Linked DNA regions of Macaca mulatta. The main gene of each other region encodes a partner of the protein of the gene in region 3 in a complex. Links are inferred from orthologs where the notes say so. Each region holds a gene or a part of one and is shown on either strand. Other genes may lie near its edges.

The links.
Region 1: the proteins of RAB9A (region 3) and SGSM1 are in contact, whole or in part, in a crystal structure (PDB 4QXA), measured with the Mus musculus proteins. The link is inferred for Macaca mulatta from reciprocal best matches to the Homo sapiens genes RAB9A and SGSM1. Residues at the interface, in NP_062747.1 of Mus musculus: Phe37, Thr39, Ile40, Gly41, Val42, Glu43, Phe44, Leu45, Trp61, Arg68, Phe69, Leu72, Phe76; in NP_766306.2 of Mus musculus: Leu256, Leu257, Tyr258, Gly259, Lys260, Asn261, Asn262, Tyr277, Asn294, Met297, Asn298, Gln361.
Region 2: the proteins of RAB9A (region 3) and NDE1 are in contact, whole or in part, in a crystal structure (PDB 7E1T), measured with the Homo sapiens proteins. The link is inferred for Macaca mulatta from reciprocal best matches to the Homo sapiens genes RAB9A and NDE1. Residues at the interface, in NP_001182257.1 of Homo sapiens: Ile40, Val42, Phe44, Asn46, Gln59, Trp61, Arg68, Phe69, Ser71, Leu72, Pro75, Phe76; in NP_001137451.1 of Homo sapiens: Asp99, Gln102, Thr103, Ala105, Ile106, Gln109, Leu110, Tyr113.

Annotation. Positions count from the first base shown.
Region 1 is NC_133415.1:26,303,524-26,312,955, reverse strand, and holds part of SGSM1 (small G protein signaling modulator 1), read right to left. Parts: coding exon 9,379-9,432; intron 4,718-9,378; coding exon 4,553-4,717; intron 2,335-4,552; coding exon 2,196-2,334; intron 1-2,195. UniProt on the Homo sapiens protein: Interacts with numerous Rab family members, functioning as Rab effector for some, and as GTPase activator for others. Promotes GTP hydrolysis by RAB34 and RAB36.
Region 2 is NC_133425.1:16,420,516-16,430,430, reverse strand, and holds the start of NDE1 (nuclear distribution protein nudE homolog 1), read right to left. Parts: upstream 4,831-9,915; 5' UTR 4,791-4,830; exon of another isoform or gene 4,673-4,790; intron 4,162-4,672; exon of another isoform or gene 3,911-4,161; intron 1-3,910. UniProt on the Homo sapiens protein: Required for centrosome duplication and formation and function of the mitotic spindle. Essential for the development of the cerebral cortex.
Region 3 is NC_133426.1:13,329,393-13,339,468, reverse strand, and holds the start of RAB9A (ras-related protein Rab-9A), read right to left. Parts: upstream 5,065-10,076; 5' UTR 4,687-5,064; intron 1-4,686. UniProt on the Homo sapiens protein: The small GTPases Rab are key regulators of intracellular membrane trafficking, from the formation of transport vesicles to their fusion with membranes.

The DNA.
Region 1 (9,432 bases), on a different chromosome or scaffold from region 3:
TATCTGCATATTTGTTCTCAGGACATCCCAGGAGAGATCCAGAAAAACAGGTAGAGTGGGGCAGGGCAGGAGGAGCATAGCTGAAGTCCTCCACTTAGGCATAAGGAGGCAGGTAGGAACATTAAGCAGGAAAGAGTCCCCCTTTGTGCCCTCAGGTTGGTGAGGCTCAGACTTGCTCAGGTTACGTGAGAATAGGATCGCATCAACAGCTTTCCCACTGTAGACTTCGCTTTCTGCAAGGTAGTGAGTTCTCCATCACTCAAGGTGTGTAAGCAGATGCTACAACAGGAGAGGGGGCAATGGGTTACAGCAGCCTTTCTCACTGGTCCATGGACCATCAGCCCAAGAGTTACTTGGAGTTTCTCCAACATGTGGATTCCTGGGTCCTGCACATACCTACTCAGTCAGGACCTCTAGGAAGTAGTCCAGGAACTGGTATGTCTTGCCACCTAGCCCAGGTGATTCTGATGCACAACAAGAGAATCTTCAGGCCGGGTGCAGTAGCTCATGCCTGTAATCCCAGCACTTTGGGAGGCCGAGGCAGGCAGATCACTTGAGGTCAGAAGTTCGAGACCAGGCCGGGCGCGGTGGCTCACGCCTGTAATCCCAGCACTTTGGGAGGCCGAGACCGGCAGATCACGAGGTCAGGAGATCGAGACCATCCTGGCTAACACGGTGAAACCCCGTCTCTACTAAAAAATACAAAAAAAAAAAAAAAAAAAACTAGCTGGGCGAGGTGGCGGGCGCCTATAGTCCCAGCTACTCGGGAGGCTGAGGCAGGAGAATGGCGTGAACCCGGGAGGCGGAGCTTGCAGTGAGCTGAGATCCGGCCACTGCACTCCAGCCTGGGCAACAGAGCGAGACTCCGCCTCAAAAAAAAAAAAAAAAAAAAAAAAGAAGTTCGAGACCAGCCTGGACAACATAGTGAAACCCCATCTCCACTAAAAACACAAAAATTAGCCAGGAATGGTGGTGCGTGCCTGTAGTCCCAGCTACTCGGGAGGCTCAGTCAGGAGAATTGCTTAAACATGGGAGGTGAAGGTTGCAGTGAGCTGAGATCACCCCATTGCACTCCAGCCTGGGCAAGAGAGACTCCGTCTCAAAAAAAAAAAAAAAAAAAGAATCTCCAGTAATATTAGCACTTCTCAAACTTTAAAGTATACACATGGTCTTGAAACCGTGTTAAATACAGGTTCTGATTCAGGAAGTTTGGGATGAGAGACTCAGAATTTGCCCAGGTGCTGATGTTGGTTCACGGACCACACCCTGAGGAACCAGGGGGTTGGATGACTTCAAAAATTTGATGCCGACTCCCACCCCTTACATCCTATGGCTGATGACTGGACCATCCACTGGGACAGAAGCCCCACAAGGACAAAAGGGTTCCATTCTCTCAGGCCAGGCCAGGTCGGACCAGGTAAAAACAAAACCAGTCTCATGAACTGGCTGAATAGTTTCAAAGAGACGAAAGATCTATGGGCAAACAGGAGATGAGCTTGAGATTTAACTTTATACAACAAAACAGGAAGTATCATTTACTGAACAGTACCATGTGCAGGTGCCACATTCTGGCCACTTTAAACCATTACCTGAGCTGGTCCTTACCACAGCCATATAAAGTAAGAACTGGAATTCCCACTGTGTGGAGGCGCAAACTGAGATGTGGTTGTCATTAAATTAGAGTTCTGGGATTATTCTGCCTTCTAAGTGTATGGTAGGACTGCACTTGCTGTCCCCTTGTGGATGGGGCCAATGGGCTGTGAGTGGATATGACATGTGCTGCTTTTGGGCAGAGCCTTTTTATTGTGGGTTCCAACCTCTGCAGTTACCTTTCCCTGTCACTGTGACTGGCAACATTCAAGATGGTAGCTGCTCCATTGCCCAGGCCCTTTAGTGTGGAAAAAATAGCACCAGATGACCCATGATAGAAACACAGCATGCACGAGAAATAAACTTTTGTTATAAAAAAGCCACTGAGATTTTAGGACTGTTTGTTACTGCACCATAACCTTGTTTATCCTGACTAATACATGTGACCCTCTAACAGCTAGGATTTCATGGCCAGGATTTAACCTATATCTGCCTGAGTCCACAGGTTATTTCATTCTGAATTCAGTGCAGGGTAAGATATGGGCATCTACAGATTTCTGGTACATCCTTCAGCTCCCTCCATGTGCAGCTCAGGCTCCTCATACCTCTCGTGGTTGCAGCCATTGGTTGAGCCACCATCAGCCGAGCCACTCTGTGAACAGGAGGAACAGGAGGACTTCCGGGGACTGGGCTGCCATAGGGATGGGAGGTTGCTCACGGAGACATCCATCAGATCCTGGGGCACTGTGGTGGATAGAAGGAGGGGCAGAAGAATCACCCTGGTTAAGCCTATGTGGGTCACAGAAATCTCACCCCAGAGCAAGCAGTTCACCCGCCCCAGCCAGCACAGAGATAGGAAAAGACCCTGAAGGTGACAGTAGGAAACAGCAGCCCCGAACATCCTTGAGTCTACCTGATCCAATGAAAGCCACCACCAAAATCTGGTGGCCCTGAGAGATGGGCAGAGCTGATGACAGCCAAAGAGAGAAGAAGAGGACACAGAGAGCCAAGAGCCAAGGAAAGAGGCCCAATCCCAGAGCAGGAAGCCAAACCTCACCATGTTGTCACTTAGTCATACTAACAGGATGCTGCAGGAGGGAAGGGGAGGCTGCTGGATGATTCTGGAGAAGAGACAGGCCTCACGGGTGAGATGGAAGGGAGCCTGACTTAACAGATGAGGCAGGGCACCCAAGTGCCAGAGACCCAGTGAAGCCCCTGCTGATGAAGAGGGCACCTGCGCTGTCCATGGTTCTGAGGCTAAAGCTGCTCCACCAAGTGGGTCTCAAACATATTAGCGACTCCCTAAAATCATGTGGGAGGCTTGTTAAAAAGCAATATGACTGCCTCACACTCTGGCCTACTCAACTAAATCCTGGAGACAGAGCTCTCAAATCTGTATTTCTAAAGCAATTTCGATACAGCAAGTACATTCAACAGACTCTGATTTCCCAACTTGTGGACACTGGTGATTCCTGACCAGCCATTCTTAGGATACAGCACTCATAGCTTCCTTTATTTTTCTTTCTCAGCTTCGTAAAAACTGCAGTGTCTACAAAGCCACATAACAAACATACTGGGGACACATGCATTACAAATTCTATAGTCAATTTCCTGGTCTCTTGGTAGTCCTAGACAGGCGCAAAAGCTTTATTTTCTTTAAAACAGGGACCCATAAACTTTTCCTGCAAAGGGACAGCTAGTAAATATTTTAGCGTTTGCAAGCCATTTGGTCTCTGTCATAAGCACTTGACTCTGTTGTTGTAGTACAAAAGTAGCCATAAACAAAATGTTAAAAAGGAAGCATGCGCACATTCTAATAAAATAAATAAAACTTTATTTATAAATAGTGAAATGTGAATGTCATATCATTTTCATGTCATAAAATATTACTCTCCTTTTGGCTTTTTTGGATCATTTAAAAATTGAAAAACCATTCTTAGCTCATAGGCTGGTATAGAATGGGGCTGAATTTAGCTCACGAGTCTTAGTTTTCTTTTTCTTTTCTTTTTCTTTTTTTTTTTTTTTTTTTTTTTGAGATGAAGTCTCGCTCTGTCATCCAGGCTAGAGTGCGGTGGCCAGGTCTCAGCTCACTGCAAGCTCCGCCTCCTGGGTTTACGCCATTCTCCTGCCTCAGCCTCCAGAGTAGCTGGGACTACAGGCGCCGCCACCTCGCCTGGCTAGTTTTTTTTTTTTTTTTTTTTGTATTTTTTAGTAGAGACGGGGTTTCACCGGGTTAGCCAGGATGGTCTCCATCTCCTGACCTCGTGATCCGCCCGTCTCGGCCTCCCAAAGTGCTGGGATTACAGGCTTGAGCCACCGCGCCAGGCTGAGTCTTAGTTTTGTAATCCCTGTTGTAGGAAGTGAAGAGAGTGGCACACCCATATGTCATGGTCCCCACAGGACAGCTGGTAATACCCTGACTCTTCCCTTGGGCCCCAAGGTAAGGGGGAGTTGTGGAACTGGTCCTCTGGCCGTCAGCGCTCCGTAGCTGACAAGGTCAGCCCCTACCCACTGACAGAAGAGGAAGCTGCTATATGATGTAGTTCTCGCAGCCACCAAATGTGGCTTGTTACACTATTCTTCCCCATGTAACTCACCCATGAGCTAGCCAAGGAAGACCAGTAAGCCCCTGTAAAATGTTCTAGAAAAATAGCCCCAGTTCTTAGCCAATCTCAGGGGTGCCCTGACCAGTTTAGCCCAAGCATGGTAACCGTGCCTTCCTCCGTCTCAGCCTCTCACACTCGCATCCACACAGGTAACACCAATTGATCCCTTTGCTACTGAACCTACCACACTGCAAGCTGCCTTCCATAGGGTGGAGGCTAGACAGCAGGAGGGCATCAATCTCTCTGTCTCCATCTCCCTTCCTGCCTCCACCTCCCTTGGGACCAGGACTCAAATGACAACATGGCAGAGGTGGCTGGCACCCAGCCCCCAGGGAAGGGGAGATCCCAGACATTACTGGGGGGCTGCTCCTTCAGGCTCGGCGTGGGGAGAGTAGTGTCCCATCTGGCTCGCTCCCACTGACTCCCTCTGGCCACCACCAGCATGGACTGGCCTGCAGGAACCATCATCCAGGCAGGGCCCACAGAGATGGAGGAAGTGCTGCCCAAGAGGTCGGGGGCAACTTGAGATACAAAACAGAAAGAACCAGTGAGGTGGGGGTTCGGAGCCATCTCAGGACACTGAGATAGCTGGAAGAGTCCGTTTCTGGGGGCTCCAAACCTCCCCCTCCCTGGCTCCACACAGATCCCACATATACTGTGTTCAATTAGAAGAAAGAATGCCGATTTTTATAACGTGCCTACTATGTGCTGAGTGTCAGGCTAGGCAGTTTGCGACCTGAGCAAACCTAAGGAAACCAGTTATTGTCCTTCACGACCCTGTGAGGGATGCATCCTTCCTCTTCCACTTTGCAGAAGAAGAAACTGAGGCTCAGAATGATGGCACAACTTAATCACCCAAAGCCCTGCCAGGCAGTAGGCCATTTGCAAGTCATCCCTCCTTGCAAAATGGGGGATGGTGATGACAACCTGCGAGGGCTATGGTGAGGACGGAATGAATTAAGATAAGGACATATCTAGTCTTTTTTGACCGAAGTCCCTCTCCTCTTTCCCCTAACAACAGCTGTCCCTACTGAGTACAGTACTATCATTATCCCCTTTTACAGACTGGAAAACTGAGGCATGGAGAGTTTAAGCAACACGCCCAAGACCACCCAACTAATAAGCAGAGGAGCCAAGATCCCAACTCAGGGGATTTGACTTTCTTTTTTTTTTTTTTTTTTTTTTTTTGAGGCAGGGTCTTGTTTTGTCATCCAGGCTGATGTACAGTGGCACAGACGTGGCTCACTGCAGCCCTGATCTCCCAGGCTTAAGTGACCCTCCATCTTCAGTCTCCTGAGTAGCTGGGACTACAGGCACGTGCCAGCATGGCCAGCTCATGTTTTTAAAATTTTTTGTAGAGATGGAGTTTCGCCATGTTGCCCAGGCTGGTCTCAAATTCCTGGGCTCAAGCCATCCTCCCACCTCAGCCTCCCAAAGTGCTGGGATTACAGGCGTGAGCCACTGTGCCTGGCCTGAGGACCTGACTGTCATCCTACTCTTTCTACCTCAGCTGGTTTCTCATAGGCACTTCTCTCCACACCACCTGTTCTCAACCTGGGCAATCCTGTCGATGTTTGGAGACACTTTGGGTTTTCACGCCTTGGGGATTAATTAGGTGCTACTGTTGTCTAGTAGCTGGAGGTCAGGGATGCTGCTCAATATCGTACACAAGGCAACCCCCACACAAGGAATTATTCAGCCCTAAATGTCAACAGTGCTGAGGCTGAGAAATCCCACGCTAGACCAGCACTATCCAATAGAAACACAATCAAGGGGCTGGGAGGTGGCTCACTCCTGCAATCCCAGGACTTTGGGAGCCCGAGGCGGATGAGTTGCTTGAGCCCAGAAGCTCTAAGCCCAGCCTGGGCAACATGGCAAAACCCCATCTCTACAAAAAATCAAAAAAAAAAGTAGGCAGGTATGGTGGCTTGTGCCTGTGATTCCAGCTACCCAGGAGGCTGAGGTGGGAGGATCAACTGAGCCCAGGAGGTCGAGGCTGCAGTGAGCCACGATTGCACCACTGTACTCCAGCCTGGGCAACAGAGCGAGATTATATATAATCTTTATTTACAAAAACAGGTGAATGGGCCGAATTTGGCCCATGAAAAGGGGTTTGTTGACTTCTGATTTAGGCCCTCTTTCAGAAAGAACTTCATACCTCTCACAGATAGAAACCTGTCACAGATGGAAACCGTAAGATGACTGTTTTTGTTAAGCCTGTGAGGCTCAAGCCCCAGAAAATCAACCAAGGATGCGGTTGCCATTTCCATGTGGGTTGAAGCTGACCTTGAGAATGAAGGCAGTGAAAGCACAATGCCTGCTCCCTGCCAGTCAAAACGATGCGCATGGAGTGGTGGTTACAGGCACAGGCTCTGGAGCGAGACCTCCTACGTTCAAATCCCAGCCATGACAAGAATTAGTTATGTGATCCTGGACTGGTCGCTTAACCCTTCTGTGAATCAGTTTCCTCCTTGCAAAATGGGGGATGGTGATGACAACCTGGGAGGGCTATGGTGAGGACGGAATGAATTAAGATAGGGACAGCGGGACAATGGACAGAAGTGGGCCTGGCACACAGTGGCACTCAAGACACGATATCTGCTATTGCTTACTAAGCATCTGCCAAGCGCCAGGCCCCATGTCAGGTCACCAGGTGTTTTAGGAATGATCTTGCTGATTCCTCAGAATATGATGCTGGTGGGGAGTGCTGTTACCCCATTCTACAGAGAAGGAAGTGAGGTCTGCGGAGGACAGGTCACTTAACCACACCGCAGTGGCAGAGCTCAATACAGTGATGCATTCTTTTCTCTAAACCAATGGCTCTCAACCAGGGGCAATTTTGCCACCCTTCAGAGGACACCTGACCATGCCTAGAGACATACCTGGTTGTCACAACTTAGAGCAAAGTAAGTTTGCTACTTGGCATCTAGCGGGTGCTCAACATCCCACAATGCACAGGACCACCTCCTACAACAAAGAATTATTCCATCCCAAATGACAGTAACACTAAGGTTCAGATGTCCAATTCTAGATAAACTGAATTAGTTGGGTGTTTCCTCAAGGGCAGATGAGGATCCAAGTGCAAGTTCCAAAGGCACATCAGTAAGGGAGGGGCAAACTGAGACAAAACAAGAAAAGGGGAGGGAGTAAAGGGTTAGTCGCCAAGCAAGTTACCAATAGAGGTAACTATGCTTAATCTCCCATGGAAGCTCTAGGAGTCTGTGCAGAACATGTATGTCAGAGTTTGCCTCACAAAGGGAGAGGGAGCTGGGACATTGATACACTAACTCCTATCAGCCATGAGCTGAGGGCTGCTCCAGGGAGGCACTGGTTCCCTGATGCTTCCAAATATGCCCCATCCCTGGCCAGAAGGGACTCTTGCGGCCAGAGAAAACCCTCAGGCAAAGAGATACTGAGACAGAGAGCTGCAGTTGGTAGCTGAACAGCATGCACAGAATGAGAAATGCTGAGGTTGTGGGTGAGCACAGCCAGTGTCTGTTCCACTGGCCTTCATCAAGCCACAGGAGGATGACATGGAGAATCTCCAAATAAACTAAACACCCAGCACTCTGCCTAGCTCCCAGCGGGAGTGTGCACATTGCCTGTTGGATGAGAAGCTGTGGAGTTTCCTGGGAAGGCAACTACAGGGGATCTAGCCCTCTCTGATAACAGGCTCTCAAGTGGAACTCTTAATGAATGTTGGTCTTCACAGGGGTGGGAAGCCCAAGTTCTCGGGCAACAGGACAGTAGCTGGCTCAGCATCCCAAGGGATTTCACCCTCATACATGGAGCCTTTTCAGCCTTGGGGCCCACAAGAGCCTTGGTGTCTGGCCAGGATTTTGAGCACCTGGTTCCATGGAGTGGCTGGGAGGCCCTGATCCAGGGCAGGAACAGACATAGTCATGTATACTTCAGGACACTCTGTAGTGCTTAAGGGATTCCAGCCTTGTCCAGGAGGACATCTGCTCTCAAAAGAGCCTCTCACTGCCCAGCACGTGGCTGCTTCAGCAAAGGGAGGCTCAGAGCCATTATCCTCGGATGGGAACATCAGGGCCGCTGCATGTTAAATAAAATGAAGTGAACAGAAAGAGCCTACCACTCAATACTGATTTGTTTAACAGACACCCATACCATGCTTCATAAATGCCAGGCCCTCTTCTAAGTACTTTTCAAATCTTAATTCACTGAATCCTCACAATAGCCCCGCAATGATGACGCTCTTAGCAGTAAGAACTTCCATTTGCTACGCATCTGTGTCACGAAGGCACCGTGCAACCTGCTTGCCATTCACCATCATCTCATGTGCTTCGCCTCTATTGGTGTCAAGTTTGACTACAACTTACTGAGGGCCTACTGTGTGCAAGGCCTTACTCCATGAGCTCTACGATGAATATTTCATCATCTCATTGACTCTTTATAATAACGAGAAGTAGAATATTAACAACAACAACATTTGAGTATTTTGTATGTGTGTGAAATGCCTGATCTCATTTTAAAAATATTTTAATTTGCATTTATTTTGAGACAGGGCCTCACTTTGTTGTCCAGGCTGGAGTGCAATGACACAATCACGGCTTATTGCAGCCTCGACCTCCCCAGGCTCAGGTGATCCTCCCACCTCAGCCTCCCAAATAGCTGGGACCACAGATGCATGCCACCACACCTGGCTAATTTTTGTATTTTTTGTAGAGACAGGGTTTCGCCATGTTGCCCAGGCTGGTCTTAAACTCCTGGGCTCGGGCAATCCAAAGTTCTCCCTCCCAAATTTCGGCCTCCCAAAGTGCCAGGATTATGGGTGTGAGCCACCATGCCCGGCCGCCTTACCTCGTTTGATCCCCAGAATGACTTATGTAACTGGTGCTATGAACATACCCATTTTACAGATGAGGAAACTGAGGCACAGAGGGCTGAGATGACTTGCCCAAGTTCAGCCAGGATTCCAGAACCTATGCCATTGCCACTACCCCAGGCCACCTCTCCTAGTGTCTTTATTAGACAAGTAGAGGGTGGTTATTGTTCTTATTTGGGGGGGAACTGAGGCTACCAAGAAACCAACTTTGTTTCCAGATCTTCCTGTTAGCCCCAGAATCCAGACCTGTCATCTTCTAGTTTTAAACACCTGGAATCATTTTCAGCATCAGTTAGCAGGTGACTCCCCAGGGCCCGGGACAGAGCAGCTCACCGAATTCCGACTGCATGCCAGGGTAGATGATCCTGAACACGTAATCCGTGGCCT
Region 2 (9,915 bases), on a different chromosome or scaffold from region 3:
GGGTCTTTGCATTCAAGTCCAAGGCTTCCCAGGGGTTGCAAACTGACTGACTGGAGATTAGATTCACTTGTTTCATTTGGCCCACACAGTCTTTCCTTTTTTTTTTTTTTTTTTGAGTCAGAATCTTACTGTGTTGCCCAGGCTGGAGTACAGTGGTATGATCTCAGCTCACTGCAACCTCCGCCTCCCAGGTTCAAGCGATTCTCCTACCTCAGCCTCCCTAGTAGCTATGATTACAGGTGCACGTCATGACACCTAGCTAATTTTTTGTATTTTTAGGAGAGACGGGGCTTCGCCATGTTGGCCAGGCTGGTCTCAAACTCCTGACCTCAGGTGATCTGCCCGCCTAGGCCTCCCAAAGTGCTGGGATTACAGGTGTGAGCCATCGTGCCCGGCCCTCACACAGTGTTTTAAAAGGCACTGTAATAGACAGGTGTTAATACCTGGTCTCAGTATATGCAACTTTGCGCCTGCTATCTTAAAAATGGATCCCACGCCAGGCGCGGTGGCTCAAGCCTGTAATCCCAGCACTTTGGGAGGCCGAGACGGGCGGATCACGAGGTCAGGAGATCGAGACCATCCTGGCTAACACAGTGAAACCCCGTCTCTACTAAAAAATACAAAAAAAAAACTTAGCCGGGCGAGGTGGCATGCGCCTGTAGTCCCAGCTACTCGGGAGGCTGAGGCAGGAGAATGGCGTGAACCCGGGAGGCGGAGCTTGCAGTGAGCTGAGATCCGGCCACTGCACTCCAGCCTGGGTGACAGAGCGAGACTCCGTCTCAAAAAAAAAAAAAAAAAAAAAAAAAAAAGGATCCCACAGGCATTTATTTCATCTGTGTGCCACTAACCTGCATTCTTAATACACCATCACACCATCAGCTCTGCCCCAGCAGCTCTGTGGACAAATCTGATGGGAGCATGCAAGAAACAATGACAAACTAGGACCCAGTGGGACAAAAAGTATCTATTTTGCACAACTGAGATCTATGCCTCCTTCAAAAATTTGTTTCTGGCCAGGTGTGGTGGCTCACGCCTGTAATCCCAGCACTTTGGGAGGGTGAGGTAGGCAGATCACTTGAGCTCAGGAGTTCGAGACTAGCCTGGGCTACATGGTGAAACCCCATCTCTACCAAAAATACAAAAAACTAGCCGGGTGCAGTGATGCACACCTGTGGTCCCAGCTACTCAGGAGGCTGAGGTGAGAGGATCACTTGAGCCTGGGAGGCGGAGGTTGCAGTGAGCCAAGATCACCCCACGGCACTCCAGCCTGGGTGACAGAGCGAGAATCCGTCTCAAAAAAGAAAAAAAAAAGTTGTTTCCACATGCTTTTTTTTTTTTTTTTTTGCATGTTTTACATGATTAAAGCTAAGAAAAAAGTCTGAAAATACACTTGAGACACACACCTCTGATTTTAAAACTCTGGAAAAAAAGCAAAGCAATCTCTTTCAGCTTTCCTCTGAGAGAAGAAAGCCAGCACAGCTAGTCAGGAGCAATAAACATAAAGAAACCATCAATAATTAACTCATCACCCTTCTCCATCCCCACTCCGTATCCTTCCCAATCAAAACAAACAGAAGAGCGGGAGGGAAGGGAAAGAAGCTGCCAAATGTCCGTACATGCTCCGACAGCCAGGACGCAGGCTTTGCATTTTGCAGAAGTGACATCACTAGGGTAACATCAGTCAAGAGTCAGCAAGCCTGGCTTCTGTCTTTGTGCTTTCCAAGTTTATAATGATCAGCCTACAAAAATACTTAGGCCGGCAAGGATCCATGTTCAAAGATGCACACCATCATTCACTAATGTGGAAAACTGGAAACCTCAATGTCAACAGAGGACTGAATGGAAAACGATGCAGTTGTTAAGAACTGTATGTACTAATATGGAAGAAAGCTCACGATATGTTACAAATGGGTGCCCATTTTTGTTTACTTCCCTCTCTCTGCACACAGAATAGAAAAGGGTCTGGAGGATGCACCAGAATGGGGGTAAAGCAAGCCCTGTGGATATGTACCTGACACACTGCTTTAAGATACACTACATATACATCTATACAGTAAGCACAGATTGCTTTAGAGATTTTAAAAAGCTTAGGCCAGGCGCCGTGGCTCTCTCCTAACCCAGCACTTTGGGAGGCTGAGGCAGAAGGATCACTTAAGCCCAGGAGTTCGAGACCAGCCTGGGCAACATAGTGAGACCCCTATCTCTACAAAAAATTTTAAAAATTAGCCAGGTATGGTGGCATGTACCTTTAGTCCCAAATACTTGGGAGGCTCAGGCAAGAGGATTGCTTGAGCCTGAGAGGTCGAGACTGCAGTGAGCTGTGATTGCATCACTGTGCTCCAGCTTGGGCGACAGAGTGAGACCCTGTCTCAAAAAACAAACAAACAAAAACTTGGACAAAAAATAAAATAGCTATTGTTCCAGGATAATTTTATTCTACTGAACCAAGTTCCAGGGAAAGAATTTTTCCTACCGTGGTTTTGCCTCCTCCATCCCTTTTCAAACATTTCTTGAACACATACTAAGTGCTGGGCACTGCTTAAGGGGGCAGACGGAAAGCACCTACATCCATTGCACGAGGTACACACATAGTACTAGCTGCAGGCACAAACTTTCTGTACACAGGCATGCTCATGTTAGGAAATTACCTTGTGAGGAAAAGGAGTGTCATTTCTCAGTTCACACATTCTAAGGCAAAAGAACACACTTTGGGCTGGGTGCAGTGGCTCATGCCTCTAAGTAATCTCAGCACTGTGGGAGGCCCAGACAGAAGGACTGCTTGAGCCCAGGAATTTGAGACCAGCCTGGGCAACAAAGCAAGATTCTGCCTCTACATAAAAAAAAAGAATAATGATAGGGTCGGGTGCAGTGGCTCATGCCTGTAATCCCAGCACTTTGGGAGGCCGAGGCGGGCAGATCATGAGGTCAGAAGTACAAGACCAGCCTGGCCAAAATGGTGAAATTCCATCTCTACTAAAAATTAGCTGGGCATGGTGGCACACACCTGTAATCCCAGCTATTCAGGAGGGTGAGGCAGAAGAATCACTTGAACCCGGGAGGCTGAGATTGCCGGGAGGCTGAGGTTGCAGTGAGCCGAGATCGCGCCACTGCACTCCACCCTGGGCAACAGAGCAAGACTCCGTCTCTAAATAAATAAATAAATAAAATAAAAGAATACACTTTGGAAACAAAAATAACATCCAACAGAATAAGTCAAGTTAATAAACTGTTATCCAACATGGGATAAAATATATGAATCAAAGGCCCCTGAGACTTCAGCGGCACAGATCATCTGCATTTAATCCTACACAAAACACACACTAAGAAGAAAGGCTCAAAATGGGTTGTAGGCTGGGAACGGTGGCTCACGCCTGTAATCCCAGCACTTTGGGAGGCTAAGGCGGGCAGATCACGAGGTCAGGAAATCGAGACCATCCTGGCTAACATGGTGAAACCCCATCTCTACTGAAAAATAGAAAAAATTAGCCGGGTGTGGTGGCACGCACCTGTAGCCCCAGCTACTCCAGAGGCTGAGGCAGGAGAATCGCTTGAACCCGGAAAACGGAGGTTGCAGTGAGCCAAGATAAAAAAGCCACTGCACTCCAATCTGGGCGACAGAGTGAGACACTGTCTCAAAAAAAAAAAAAAAAAAAGGGAGGGGGTTGTATACCAATGAGGTGATGGAGGCTGGGGTGGTCGGGTAACAAGAGGCTTCGGGAATAGCTGGAATCTAATTAATCTTCAAAACACCCGACCCATGCCCTAAAATACCATCCTGTTCTAGAATACACTATAACAAAACTAAAAATGATGAACCTGCCCAGGTCGTGCTGCAAAGGCCTTTTCTTTAAAACGTTAAAAGGGGCCTCGGGCTCAAAGTAGAAATTAAGAGACATAACCTGGTACTAACCACGGACAAAGCCATCAAGGAAGCTCAGGCCCTCAGGAGGCAGAAAGCCTGAGATGGCTCAGAAAAGATAAAGTCGCCTCCCCAAAAGCGATGTCAAGGTGACAGCGGGGTTTCCCAGGACCTCAGAGAGGCAGGTGAGCCCAGCCATCACTCAAGCTGCGGAATAAGCATTTTCGTCCTTTACCCAATCCGTCCCCAATGTGCTGTCAGAAGAAACCCGAACCGTCCTGCGGCAGAGACTGGAGCAAAGCGAGAGGAGACTGCCCCAAACATGTTCCCGGAGGGAGGGAGCGGGGGGAGGTTTTTGGAAAGAGGCCTGCAGGGGCGGGACAGTGGGTGTGAAGGCAGGGGTAGCGCTGCAATCGGGGTGTCTAGGGTCGCAGGGAAGGGGGTGGCAGGATGGAGGGGTAGGAGAGAGAAAGAGAAAAGAGACGAGGGGCATCTAGGAAAGGAGTATGGGGAGGGAGGAAGAGGAGAAAGAGGATGGAGCCTGGCAGCGGGGGTTTGGGGAAGGGCAAGGCTGAACCACCCAGGAAGTCCCGGAAGGAGGAGAGGGCAACCGGGTGGAAGAGAGACCAGCGCAGAAAGAGAAACAAAGTTGCCAAGGGCGAGGGGCGGGCGCGAGGGACGCACGGGTGGCAAGGCACTCAGTGTCTAACTTTTTAGGACCGGAGGCTCCAGGGAGGCGGGATTTTGGAGCCCGGGGACCGGGGGAATCCAGGCGGCCGGGAAGCGACCCGCAAGCCAGGGGCGTGGGGGTACCTGCCAGGCGGTGGCCCGGGGTTCCGGGGTCCTGGGGCGGGGCAGAGGAGCCTTCCCAGTTGCGGAGGAGGTCCCGGGCAGCCACCCCGACCCCAGCCCGGCGCAGCCCCGCACTTACCGGTGCAGGCGCGGCGAAGACAAGGCGGCGGCGGCGGCGGCTGTGAGGGGCGGTGCGGCCCCGGCCCTCCGGACCCCGCCCCCGCCCCGGAGCCCGCAGCCGGCGCCGCCCATTGGCTGCTGCTCCACGGTACCGCGTCCGCCTTGGCCAATCAGCGCAGAGCAGCGTCGTTTGGAAACTTTTTTCCCAGGCCGGGCGCGGCGGGGCCACGCGGCGGAGGCTCCTGGCCCGAGGGGGGCTTGGGAGGCGCCGGCTGCCGGGCGCTGGGCTGGGGCGGGCGGGTCTTGGAGATGCTGCAGGACGCTGCCTGGACACCCGGGAAATGGGTTTGGGCTTGCGGGCCGCGCATTTCAGGAAAATAAGCCGGCCTCTTCTTCACTCCGATTGCATTTTCCCGTTTTTGCACTTTCCCCAAATCAGAAGGAAAGACAAAGATTCAGGCCCACTGGAGCTAGCAGTGCCCCGTGCCCTTCCTACTCTTTTACATCCAAAGTGAATCTTCAGCATCATTATCTTCTCCAGAGGCAAGAGAACTTAGTGCACAAGAATTTGGTCATAAGCTTGGCTTTGAGTCCTAGCTCTGCCCCTTACTAACTGTGTGATCTTGGGAAAGTTGTTTGGCCTCTATGATTCCGTTTCCTCGCCTCTATGACTCCGTTTCCTCATCTATAAAACGCCATTATGGGTCTGGCGCGGTGGTCACGCCTGTAACCCCAGCACTTTGGGAGGCCAAGGCAGGTGGATCAAGAGGGCAGGAGTTCAAGACCACCCTGGCCGACATGGTGAAACCCCGTCTCTACTAAAGATACAAAAAATTAGCTTGATGTGGTGGCGCGCGCCTGTAATCCCAGCTACTCAGGAGGCTGAGGCAGGAGAATCGCGGGAACCCGGGAGGTGGAGGTTGCAGTGAGCCGAGATCACACCACTGCACTCTAGCCTAGGCTACAGGGCAAGACTCCGTCTTAAAGAACAAACAAACAAAAGACAAAAAAACGACATTATGCAGAGGACTAAATGAGTTAACAGCATTTGTAAAAACGTTTACAACAGAAATTTTAACATAGTAAGTACAATATATGTATTTGTTAAATAATCTTGATTTTATTTATTTATTTATTTTGAGATGAAGTCTCCCTCTGTCTCCCAGGCTGGAGTGCAGTGGCCTGATCTCCACTCACTGCAACCTCCGCCTTCTGAGTTCAATTAATTCTCCTGCTTCAGCCTCCCGAGTAGCTGGGATTACAGGCCCACATCACCACACCTGGCTAATTTTTGTATTTTCAGTAGAGGCGGGGTTTCACCATGTTGGCCAGGCTGGTCTCAAATCCTTGACCTCAGGTGATCCACTCACCTCGGCCTCCCAAAGTGCTGGGTACAGGCATGAGCCACCGCACCCTGCCTGATGATCATGATTTTTAAATGTGTGTGTGTGCCAGGCACAATTCTCACAGCAACCCTAATTGTTTACTAACAAATTTAAAAAGAATTTTTTTTCTTTTTTTTTGAGACGGAGTTTCCCCTCTCGTTGCCCAGGCTGGAGTGCAATGGCGTGATCTCGGCTCACTGCAATGTCCGCCTCCCAGGTTCAAACGATTCTCTTGCCTCAGTCTCCCTAGTAGCTGGGATTACAGGCGCCCACCACCACGCCCAGCTAATTTTTTGTATTTTTAGTAGAGACACAGTTTCACTATGTTGGCCAGGCTGGTCTCGAACTCCTGACCTCAGGCGATACACCTGCCTCAGCCTCCCAAAGTGCTGGGATTGCAGGCGTGCGCCACCATGCTTGGCTGGAATTTTTTTTTAACTTTTCTTCCAAAACATCTTGTCATAACATGTTCATTAACAAACATGGAGCATTCTGGTTAGTGGGTACAAAAATAGAGTTAGAATGAATAAGATGTAGTATATGGAAGCACAAGAGGGCTACAGTCCACAACAATGTATTGTACATTTTTAAATAACTAAAGGAGTATAAGTGGAGTGCTTGTAACACAAAGAAAGAATAAATGCTTGAGGTGATGGACACCCATTTACCCTGATGTGATTATGATGCATTGTATGCCTGTATCAAAATATCTCATGTACTCCATAAATATAAACACCTACTGTGTGCTCATACAAACTAAAAATATGTATATTATTATCCAGCTTTTTTTTTTTTTTTTTGAGACAGTCTCACCCTGTGACATAGGCTGGAGTGCAGTGGCACAATCTGCTCACTGCATCCTGGACCTCCCAAGTAGCTGGGACCACAGGTGTGCACCACCACACCCAGCTAAGTTTTACGTTTTTGGTTTTTTTTTTTTTTTGTAGGGACGTGGATCTCACTATGTTGCCCAGACTGGTCTCGAACTCCTGGGCTCAAGGGATCCTCCTGCCTCAGTCTCCCTCCCAAAGTGCTGGGATTATAGGCTGAACCACAGCACCTGGCATTATGAGCATTCTTCTGTACAATGCACCCTTACAGCACAGTGAACACGTCAGACAAGGTACCTGGCCTCAAAGGGCTTATATTGTTAACAGAGAAACACACTAAATCCATAAGCAGAAAAAGTAACATTTCAGATCTTGATAAGTGCTATGACTAAGGCAAGCTCGTTTGATAGAAAAGGGCTGGGAGGGGTCACTTCAGATACTATGGTCAGGGAAGGCCACTATAGAGAGGCAACCATGCAATTGAACCACAGATGATGCACCATAGGAAAGCATTTTATTGTATCCATGTTAAAGATGAGGAAATAAAGGTGCAGGAAGTTAATTGAGTTGCCTGAGGTCTTACAACTAGTAATTAACAAATCAGGCTTCAGAGCTGGCTCTGACTCCTAAACCCTCCTTCTGTAGCACTATGCTGGAGGCAAAGAGATCTTAGCCATTACAGGGTCTCCCACCCCACTCCTGCCTTCCTGCTGTCCTTAGAATAGCCTTTCTCAAATTCTACTTTGGACTCCTTGCTAATTCCTAAAAACTGCTTAGAGGCAAAAAGGGGAACCCCACCACCTATCAACAGGCTTAAGGAAAGTACCAAATGTCTTTCAGGAAACTTCCCAAACATAAATGAATCATTTACATCCTGCTTCACACTTTACTACCTCTGATGCCTTGCCCCTTGGAATTTTATTTTATTTTATTTTGAAACAGAGTCTCACTCTGTTGCCCAGGCTGGAGTGCAGTGCTGCAATCTAGGCTCACTGCAACCTCCGCCTCCTGGGTTCAAGAAGATTCTCCCGCCTCAGCCTCTCAAGTAGCTGGGATTACAGGTGTTCACCACCATGCCCAGCTAATTTTTCTATTTTAGTAGAGACGGTGTTTCACCATGTTGGCCAGGCTGGTTTCGAACTCCTGACCTCAAGTGCTCCAGCCGCCTCAGCCTCCCAAAGTGCTGGGATTACAGGCGTGAACCACCACACCAAGCCTCCCCTTAGGAATTTTATTATTTACTTATTTATTGAGATGGAGTCTCACTCTGTCACCCAGGCTAGAGTGCAGTGGTGCGATCTCTGCTCATTGTAACCCCCACCTCCTGGTTCAAGTGATTCTCCTGCCTCAGCCTCCCAAGTAGCTGGAATTATTCCCCCCTTGGATTTTTTTGTTTTATTTTGTTTTGACAGAGTCTCACTCTGTCACACAGACTGGAGTGCAGTGGCGCGATCTCAGCTCACCGCAACCCCTTCCTCCTGGGTTCAAGCGATTCTCCTGCCTCAGATTCCTGAGTAGCTGGGATTACAGATGTGTACCACCATGCCCAGCTAATTTTGTAGTTTTAGTAGAGACAGGGTTTCACCACGTTGGCCAGGCTGGCCTCAAACTCCTGACCTCAACTGATCTACTCGCCTCAGCTCTCCCAAAGTGCTGGGATTACAGGCGTGAGCCACTGCGCCTGGACCCCCTTGGAATTTTATTTGGCCCTAACCATTCTGTGAGGTTTCTGGACAGGAACTAATCACCTCACCTTACAGAGAAATTGAAGCACAAACTGATGAGGTACTGGTGTTGCCTAAATGGCTTTGATCAAGGCATTTAAACTAGTTGGTTCTCAATTTCCCAAATTTTCCATAAAGAAAAAAGAGAGGGCATTGAAATGATAATCATTAAAGTCTTATTTGGGAAAAACATTTAGGGAAATAGGTTTGTCATTGGGTAAAACCTTAAAAATGAAAGGAGCCGGGCGCGGTGGCTCAAGCCTGTAATCCCAGCACTTTGGGAGGCCGAGACGGGCGGATCACGAGGTCAGGAGATCGAGACCATCCCGGCTAATACGGTGAAACCCCATCTCTACTAAAAAATACAAAAAAAAAAAAACTAGCCGGGCGAGGTAGCGGGCGCCTGTAGTCCCGGCTACTCGGGAGGCTGAGGCAGGAGAATGGCGGGAACCCGGGAGGCGGAGCTTGCAGTGAGCTGAGATCCGGCCACAGCACTCCAGCCTGGGTGACAGAGCCAGACTCCGTCTCAAAAAAAAAAAAAAAAAAAAAAAAGAAAGGAAATTTTTGGTGTACTTTAAAATGTTTCTCTTGTTCTTTTTAAATTCAATTTGTTTCCCTTGTAGCTTTGGAATATGGCTGAGCAGATAACTCAATTTAACTTCCTTAGGTACTTCCATGATCATTTACTAATTCAAACCACTGAACCTAACACAGGCAGAAGATTGGTTTCTGGGGAGAAACTCCTTTAATAACAGCTTGGTTAGTTGAAAAGCTGAATTGCATGTAAAGTAGCTACTTAAATAGCACACACAAAAGTCTTTCGGTTTTAATAAATGTGAAGATTATAATTTGGACAGGGGAAAAACTGAAAGTTACTTGTACTCTCTAAAGTTTTCCCAGCAAAGAAATAGGATTACAATTAATAGAGGGTATATACTTAAAACGTATCTTAAGAGAAAATTTATGTATTTTGATTCATAATTGTCTCCTTTCAAGGGCTACTATTCTTTGCTTAGGCTCATAGTCTTTAGAAAGCAGCAATAAAATTACATTTCTTTTAAAAGGATTTGTAATTCAGACTTTTATTCAGACTTCCACTTAATACGACTGTTTTAAAAATTTTTTTTAAATAGACACAAGTGTCACGCCATGTTCCTCAGGCTGGTTTTAAACACCGAGCCTCAAGGGATCCTCCTGTCTCAGCC
Region 3 (10,076 bases):
GGATACTTGACATTTGTAGGGCACCACACTGGAGGGGAGTTAATTAGATTGTGCCGCATTCCTTTCGATGACATAATATCTTCATGAAGCTAGGTTTTCCAAGACTGCTGTGATAAAAATCAAGTACTGGGCACAAATTAAAGTGGATTATGAGGGTGGCAACTGTTTGCTCCCAAACAACCATTTTTAAATGTTATTTAAGAATATTAGCACTCATTCCAAAGAACATTCTGCATTCACCAATGGGTAGTCCTCAGGCAGTTCTGATCTGACTTCCAACCACATTATGTATGTATTTCCAGGTATATACATCTGATCAAATACACAGGTGTGAAACTGCACAGACCAGGGCAGTCACCTAGCTGCATAAACACTCCTATCTGTTAGAGTTCTGCACAGCAAGTTCTAGAAACAGAAGTCTGTAAGGCTTTTTTTCCCCCAGGTTTTTCCAACGCTGAGAACACAGACAGTCTTATTCGCACTAACCTTTCGGAAATTACCTTAGCTTCTGTACCCAAAAATCTAATCCAATTCACACGAACTTGAAATTAAACTACAGTAGTCAGTTCAACTCCTTTATACTGCTTTGCTCTCTGTCACACTTGAATAAAGAATGTGGCAATGAAATGAATATGTCCAGTTGTTCTATAGTGTTTCTCCATCCCCTGTCAAACAACAGAATACGTTTGTACAAGTCAGGCCTAAGACAAAAGTGGAGTCTGTGTCCACAGACTCCCAGAGAACTCCTGGAGAATGCAATGAGCTGGCTTCCATGCAGCCAGAATGTGAAGCCGGGACAGCCTGTTTCACTTCTCCGTTTTTTTTCACACCCAGTCTCTCTCCACCTCAGGCAGATCCAGCTGTTACCTTACTTACATTCATTTACATCTATTCATCCTCACTGTACTCATAATAAACAACAGTGTTCCAACGCCTGAACTCATCACGGTCAAAAATTAACAAAAGGATTGGAAAAATCCAGAATGTGGAAATACCCAGAGCACACAGGTTCACAACATGCTCAGTATCAAGAGTCATGTTGAGAAAGAGAGATTTCTCCTCCAAGTTATCTAACTAGCCCTGGCACTCCTGGGCTCTCTGGCAACATGGCCTGGGACCGCCTCCGACCTCCCTCCCCTCTGCCTACACACCTAGGTGGCTCCAGGTCTCCTCCCTCAGGCATCCTCGCCTTCCAATTGCATCATAGCTTTCCGCCAAACTCCCTGAAACATTTTTTGAGTTCACCCTCACTCCTCTATAAAAAAAGTCCTTAATAAATGTTCTCTGTTGATGGCCTACTTAGTCACAAATCCTATTCTCTTACGCTTGGTTTTGACTGATGAGTTTATTATCTATACAGCTTTCAAGTTAGATGCGTTGCCCAAACACACACACACTTCCATTTGGCTTACTTCCTCCTGCTGCTTAACTAACACATTGCCTGGGCAGAACTCCTTGGAAGCTAATAATTTGCTGCCTCTACTTTGTGTCATATAATCTCCTAGAGATTATAAAGCACAGCCATCTCATTTTACCCAGAAGGAAATGTGGTGACCTAAGTTGGGCGGAGGAGTAAGCCAATTAATGATCAAACAAGACAACTCTGGCACCAATTTCTCTCGACCCTTCCCAGAATAAAACATGTCACTTTTGTCAGATTCCGTGTGTATGCACTAGCAATCATTTTGAGGTGTGTAACTCAACATCCTCCCTACCCCATAGCAGACAACTCCTGAAGAGGCAGAGAAATCTATTCATCAGCAAAGAACGTGCTGTGTATTGGCATGAGTCAAAAACCAAGCTACCGACAAAAAGACGCCATGTTGATTGCATGAATAACACTCACAGTGATGCCTAAAAAGAGATGCGATCCTTTTTGACTGCTCCAGTCAACCATTCCCTCCCAAAGTTCACCTAATTCTGCCACCAGAATGAAGCAGTACATATTTTGAAAGGTCTGCTCTTAAATAGGCATGAAAATGAAAAAAAAGACTGGAAAACACCAGAAAGTTATGGCAAAGTCATTTAAAAATTCATCATTTATTTCTTGATTCCAGTGACAAAATGCAGGCATAACTATTTCTCTGGTGAGGTGAAATTTAAGGATGAATTTTATGCTCAACAAGAATGGCTTCTCAATTGGATTCCTGTAAATATTCACACGTGGTTAACCGTACAAAACTGTAACAAACACATCAAGTTTTCCCCATTTCATCTAAGTCTGCCCACAGTAAACACCGTGACACAGGTACTTCTGTGCCAAGTGTGGAGTTGTTTTCTTTAATTATTATTTTTTTTTTTTAGCGACAAGGTCTCACTCTATTGCCCAGGCTGGAATGCAGTGGTGCGATCATGACTCACTGTAGCCTTGAACTCCAGGGCTCAAGTCGTCCTTCTGCCTCAGCCTCCAGAGTAGCTGGGACATGCACCACCACACTGAGGTAGGCTAATTTTTTTTTAAGTTTAGTTTTTGTAGAGACGGGTGTCTCACTATGTTGCCCAGGCTGGTCTCAAACTTCTGGGCTCAAGTGATCCTCCTGTGTGGGTCTCCCAAAGCACTGAGACTACAGGCATGAGCCACCACACTCAGCCTGTTTTGTTTTTTTTTTTTTAAATGAACACCTGGCCCCTGTCCTTGAGTAGCCCAGGCAATAAATTCTGTTCTAGGATGATGTCAGAACCTAATCTTATGACTGTGATTGGACTGTAAGTTTCAGGAAGGTTAGGACTCCCCACTGCCCTTCTCATCAGCACCTTTGTATCAGTGCCCCACAGGCTGCTCAGACAACTGAAATAATGCAGAAACTAAACTGTCTAAGTCCACTTTAATGGCTCTGAATAGCTCTAAAGTTCTTTTTGTCATTTTTGCCTTAAAACAAAAAACAGATTCTGCTACCAGAAATTATTTGCCCCCTTTATTTATTTATTTATTTTTTGAGATGGAGTCTCACTCTGTCGCCCAGGCTGGAGTGCAGTGGCGTGACCTCGGCTCACTGCAATCTCTGCCTCCCGGGTTCAAGTGATTCTCCTGAATTCAGCCTCCTGAGTAGGTGGCATTACAGGCATCCGCCACCACGCCTGGCTAATTTTTGTATTTTTAGTAGAAACGGGGTTTCACCATGTTGGCCAGGCTGGTCTCGAACTCCTGACCTCGTGATCCACCCACCTCGGCCTCCCAAAGTGCTGGGATTACAGGCGTGAGCCATCGTGCCCAGCCACTCACTCTTTAATCTTTCAAGTAAATATGCTTCTCAGTAGAGAGAATTTTCCCCTGCTCACTGTTAAAATGATGAAGTATCCCAAATAGGAATATGACATTGCATTTGAAAAACTACAAAAGCAGTTGAAATGTAAGCTCTGAGATTACTCGGACTGCTGAAAAGCAAGGTTTCTCAACTGTGGCACTACTGACATTTTGGGCTAGACAGCTCTTTGTTGTGGGGGGCTGTCCTGTAGGTTATAGAATGTTTAGCAGCAAAAATTAAAAATTAAATAACAAAAATAAAAATAAAAAAGAATGTTTAGCAGCATCCCTGGCCTCTACCCACTAGATGTCAGCAGCACCTCCCTTGCCCCCAGGTGTGAATCAAAAATGCCTGCAGACATTGCCAAATATCTCCTAGGAGGACAAAATTGTCCTCTCTTCCACTTGAGAACTATTACTCTAAAATTACCCAGATCTGCTTTGAATCCCCGCTCCACCCCATCACAACCTGGGTCATCTTGGAAAACAGACTGAACCTTCCTATGCCCCCCCCCCAAATTCCTCAACTGTATGGAGCTCTTACTGAAGAAATGCTATGAAAATTAAATGAAATGATGTACGTACAGGATTTACACGCACAGAATATTCACCGCGCCAGAAATGAGGGGAGGCTAAAAAAAAAAAAAAAATTTCGAGAACTCAAAAATCTTATCTTTAGGCCTCCAGAGTACTGTAGTCTAGACAGAAGAAATGGTTGAGATAGAAACAAAAAGAGATGAGAGAGGTTGGAAAAGAAGTGATAGAACTAAGGTATTATTCCCCTTATCTCTTAAGAACCCGGCTTGGAGTCAAAGCCAATAGATGTTCTACTTAGTTTTTGCCTATCTACTCTAACATTCCAAATAATAAACGAAAAATATGCCCAGATCCCAAAAGTCTCCAAAAGAGAAACTTTGTAGTATAAACGAGGAATTTACTACAGCAGACACAAAAATACTAAAAGCACCAGACTTCCACAGCATTGTCTTAGATTTAGGAATCCAAATAACACACTGAAGTTCTAGAGAAGCAATCATGATAACTGCATAATCTTCTAAAGGAAAAACTAAAGGCTGGCTTCTTAAAAGTTCCTAACTGAATCGTTCCAGGTTTCTTTATCTCTAGTTTTGCTCCACTGGACAGCTTCTGAGAGTACAGGCAATGTAGGGATTTTCCATTACAATGGTGTCAGAGACCAAAGGACAAACACATTTTTAAAAAAGCAATCAAATTCTGCCCATTGATTTTTATCAGGACGCTAAAATCCTATGAAAAGACTTTGGTCACGTGCCGATTTGGAAACTAGCAGAAAAGTTATTCCTCAAAAGAACTGTAGTCACGAGATGTGTCATCCCTTACAAAAAAAAAAAAAAAAGGCAATACATCCACCAACTATTTATTAAGTTCAGCACGTAAATTTCTCATCTTGCCTTTTTACTTACCGAGTTGGAAGAAAAAAGGGAACGCGATCGTGAAACGTTAGCCAGCGTCTGAATCAGATACTGCCCCCAAACCTCCTGCAGCCTCTAAGATTGGCTTTACTTTCCGAATTCCTCACCCAAGTGGTCATAAGACATCGAGCAAACACGTTCTGCTTAGGTGGAACTTCAGAGGTCGCCAAAATCAAGTCGTGGGAGCGCCTTTGTTTTCCCTACATTAATCACTCGGGTGTAGGATTTGGTTTGGGGACTGTGGATGTGCGTCCCGGAGTGCTTGGGGAAAGGCTGGCGTGTACGTGTGTTCCCAGGTGACTGGGTGTATTTCTCCGTGTGTATGTGCACGGGTGTCCGGGCTTTTGTATCTCCCTCTCTCCAGTGTTTGTATGCGTCCCTGTGTGTGTGTGTGTGTGTGTGTGTGTGTGTGTGTGTGTTTCCGTGCGTCCCTCTCCCCAAAGGTGTGGGGACCCGTCTTTCCTCCTGCGTCAGACAGCAGGCAGGGAGACAACCAGCCGTCCTCGCTCCCGGGGCGGCCTTGTGACCCGCGCTAGCCCCGCGCGCACCGCACCCCACCCCAGCGGCCAGAGGCCCTAGCCGCCCCCTCAGACCCCGACACCCGCGCGCTCCGCCCGGCCCCGAAGGAGTCCTGAGTCCCGCTCACCTCGCGGCCACACGGAAGACGAGCCGGGAGCTCTGAGCCGGCCCGTCTGGGTGCAATGAGGACAGAGAGAGGGTCGGGGACCTGCACAGCAGGAGGCAGCGAAGGTACCGCAGCCAGGTTCCAGGTCCAGCTGCTCCCGTCCAGCGCGGAGGGAACAACATGGCGACGGGCCGGGGCGGGGCGATGAGAAAAGCAGGGCGGGGCCCCGGGAGGCGGGGCCTGGAAGGCGGGGTCCCGCGGCGGAGGCCCTGGGAGTGGGGCCCGTGGGAGGTGGAGCCGAGGCAGGCGGGGCCTGAATCGTGCTTTTCCTTTGGGTCGATTGCTCCTCGAGTGTCCTCCCGTCTGTGTTCGGGCGAGAGCGAGTACGAAATAACTGTCATTTTGAAAAGTTTACGTAAAGTGGAAATAAACAGACCTCATGAGCACAGTCACAGGATGTCGTGATTACAATGATAAAAACGACTAGGCAAACGGACAAAGAACAAACAGGTAGCTGAAAAATGAAAACAGTTGTGATATTGTGGAAAAACAAGAACTTTTTAAATGAAGCTATTAAAACTTTCCTTTAATCTTGTTAAAATACTGCCTCCGTCATCTCTAAATAGAAAGCGATGGTGCAAAAGTGGTACTGGAGAAGCTCTCCTTAAGTCCTTGCTTTATGTGTGAAGTTGAGTGCATGAATCCTATGATACAGAACCCTGAAAGTGGGAGGGACTCATAGTGACATCTCAATACATTTAATTTGTTTGTGATTTAGTTTGTTTATCAGAAAACCAAATACTGCGTATTCTCACTTATAAGTAGAAGCTAAATGATGAGAACGCATGGTCACATAGGAACAACAGACACCAGGGCCCACTTGAGGGTGGAGGGTATGAGGAGGAAAAGGAGCAGGAAAAAAACTAGGTATCAGGTACTATGCTTGTTACCTGGGTAACTAAATAATCTGTACACCAAGCCCTCGCAACAGGCAGTTTACCTACATGACAAACCTGCACATGTACCCCTAAACCTAAAATAAAAGTTCTTTTAAAAAGATTTAGTCTGTTTATTTTCCAAGACAAAGATCTCACTTTTATGATGTTGGGGCCCACAACAATTTAAATAATCTCCAGTTCTCTGGGGAGTCATTTTCAGGTAATGACTTTTCATTCAGCACTAGAAAGGTCATATTTGAGAAAGTTTCTCACAAATTAAAAAGGCAATTTTAGAATGCTTCTGAAAACAACGCATAAGCTTAAATAATTTTTTTCTCATAGATAGAAATCTGTTTCTTATCTGCAGGTCACTTCCCCAAGGAAATATGTATAAACGTTTATAAAATACAAATCTGTTAAATTGGGGGGAAGAAGAGATATACATTATCATTTTTAAAACACACATTAAAAGTACACCATAAAACATTATATATGAATATTAGAGTTAATTTTCCAATAGAAAAAAAGTCATGTACCTTGGGCCAAATTGCAACAAGCAATCCACAGGATAATTAAGGAAATGCTACCTGAAAATCATACATCCTAACCATAGTCAAGGAGTGATAAAATAGGAGTTTATCTGTGCAACTGCTAATACCAACTAGCTATTAACAAGTGATCTCATGAAATTATTGTATTTTGAGTTAAAGTAAACCTTGACAAACCCAACAGCTTTCATAAAAAATGTTCTAAGAAGGTCCCATGAGTGACTCTTAGGCTGTTCCAAAATGTTAGAAGGCATTCAAACACATTTGAGTGTAGCTTATAGTACCTTAAGAATAAGGAAAGTTACCTTCTCTAAAGTTACTATCAGTTGGATACTAGCCAACTGACATTTAAGAATGTTAGTATATTCTGGTCTCTTCCACCATTCACTTCTTAACCACATTTCTATGTCAGTGCAAGAGTAGAGTGGGTTAAAAGATTTTTCTCTGAAGGGCAAGTTTGGGGGTTTTTGTTGTTGGACGTGTGTGGTTGGTAAGCTGATGCAAGTTGGATAAACAGTTGCTATCTCTCTTGCTCCATAAACTTGTTCCTTGATGAAAACATTAAAGAACTAACCTAGTTTGACTCCCTTCATCTCACGAAGATTTTCATCTTTATATTCTGTAAACACCAATGCATCACTCATGGGAGAGAAAGAGGCCAAGGTTGCTATGCATAAATGATTCTTTTATTTAAATGACACCTACTTATTACTATGAGTCCTGGGAGTTAATACCCCATCTCAAGCTGGAGACTGAAAGAAATCACTTCTGGCATCTCTGATGAAAAGCTACAAGTGGCCAGGCGTGGTGGCTCATGCCTGTAATCCCAGCACTTTGGGAGGCTGAGGCGGATGGATCACGGGTCAGGAGTTCGAGACTAGCCTGGCCAACATGGTGAAACCCCATCTCTAGTAAAAATACAAAAAAATTAGCCGGGCGTGGTGGCGCGTGCCTGTAATCTCAGCAACTCAGGAGGCTAAGGCAGGAGAATCCCTTGAATCCGGGAGGCAGAGGTTACAGTGAGTCAAGATCGTGTGCCACTGCACTCCAGCTTGGGCAACACAGCAAGACTCTGTCTCAAGAATTTAAAAAAAAAAAAAAAAAAAAAAAAGCTACAAGTAAGTGGGCCCTAGACTCAGGTAAAGTAAATACTGATGATAATTGGACTGCTTTTACTTTCACGTACGAGGAAAAACACAGAACTCAGTTGTAGGCCATTTCACCATTATATTACATATGTAAATAGTCACAAATTCGATATTTTTCCAAAGTTGTTTGGCCGAATAACAGATTTGGTCATAATGTTGCATAGATGTTCTTCTATAGCCATACTAAGAAGGGGAAAAAGCATAAAATATACATAAAAGTAACTCAAAATTTGTTATATTTGGCTTTAAAGTCAAGCCAGAGTGAAAATTCTTAACAACATATAATGTTAAGTGAAAAAGAACATTACCAAATAGTATATGGAAGAAAAATTCCAATTTGGTTGAGGAAGCATTTTTTATAATATATAGCTTTTCAACATATATTGATGTATTTAATAATGCATTTATTTATATACTTACATATTTATATAATATGTACATCTTCAATATTTTATACCAATGTCACACTTATCCAGTTTGCCTAGATACTAAGTCAGCATGTTTCTTGCACGAATATAGAACTTTTGATAGTGATTCTTAAGTCAGATAAAATTTCAATGTATAAGGAAATGCCAGAAATCGGATTTCTTCACCGCTATGCTTAAAAAGGAGTTCTCAAGCAAAAATGAATAGGGGCATCATCCTTAATCTAGATATCACCAGTGAGCAAATTTCAGAATTTCCAGACTCAGATTGATGTAAGCAAATGAAAATTCTGGCCCTCAACCAAATAAAACATATATTCTTTCATGAGTCCTATGAATTCTATCCAGTGGACACTGTCAAATGGCAACCTGGGTGTCAAAAGCCATTGCCATGCTTCCTTCTGTCAACCTACACACTGTCAGAAGGGAGGCAGGCATGGGAGGCAGGAGCCAACACAACTCACACCTCTCAAGTTTGTGGGTAACCACCACGCTCACCCAAATCCCTCCAATGCCTGCAGCATAGACAGACATTTACTGTCTCTTCCCTTGGGTGATTTTAAGATTTGCAGGAAATGAAAAGTCAATTCATGTTAATACTTATTTATTCAACAAATATATAGTGAGCGTGTACGCTGTGCTAGGTGCTGAGAATACAGCAGTAAATAAGACATGGGAGGAATTCAGGGGGCGTCCCCAGCCACCATCCTCTTCTCTGAGGACAAACACCCTCCTCCACACTTTGGCTCCCATCCACCAGCTTTTTAAAAAATGTTATGTGACTTTATCTTGGTTAACAAAATAGATTCAGTTCCTTTTCTAGGAGAGCTTAGAGAAGATTAGAGGAGGCATTCAATAAGTAACTAAACAAACGTGTAATTACAAATGGACTGCAGAAAATAATTTCAAGGTGCAGTAGGTGGGAATATAGGGTAATGATACCAGAGAAGGCAGGAATGAGGAGGTGACTCCTGTCGAGCCCTAAGAATGAGCAGGCAGCAATGGGAAGGGCTGTGGAAAGAGTAGTACAAGTTTCGCAAACAACGTCACAAATAACTTAGCACATAGCAGCTTTCAATAAATCTTTCTAAATAAAGAAAACAGGCAAATTATTATTAAATCTTCACAACTGGTAGAAGAACTTAAAATTGTAATACTTTCTCTAGCGATGCAAGATCTAATGTATTCTCTTAAAAATAATATGTGTATGTTGAATAGTGCTGTACTTTCTTGACCACACTCTAAATATAACCTAACTTAGTTAATTAAAAAATGGCAAAATGGAACAAGCATTAAAATTCAGGAATGAAGTGAAGAATTCAATCCCTTTGCTGATTTGCTGATGAACATGAGTCAAAAACTGAACTTAAACTTCAAAGGCAATGGAAGGAAAATCGCATACACACCATGGTTACAATTATGTGAAAAGTATATGTGTGTGTGTTTGTATGAGTGTGTATATATTAGTGTTTATATACAAAAGAATGGAAGGCAGCAAGGAAAATCAAAGCAGTTGAATCATTATGGTAGTAGGATTCTGGGTAATTTTTATTTAAATTTTGAATTCCACGTTATAATATTATTTTGGGCAATAAGTGGAAGTTTTTCAATGAAGCAAATTTAAGAAACTTTTAAAAGTACTTCATAAGGCCACCCAATTTAATCTTTGTCTTAGGCTATAATGGTTAGTGAAAGGC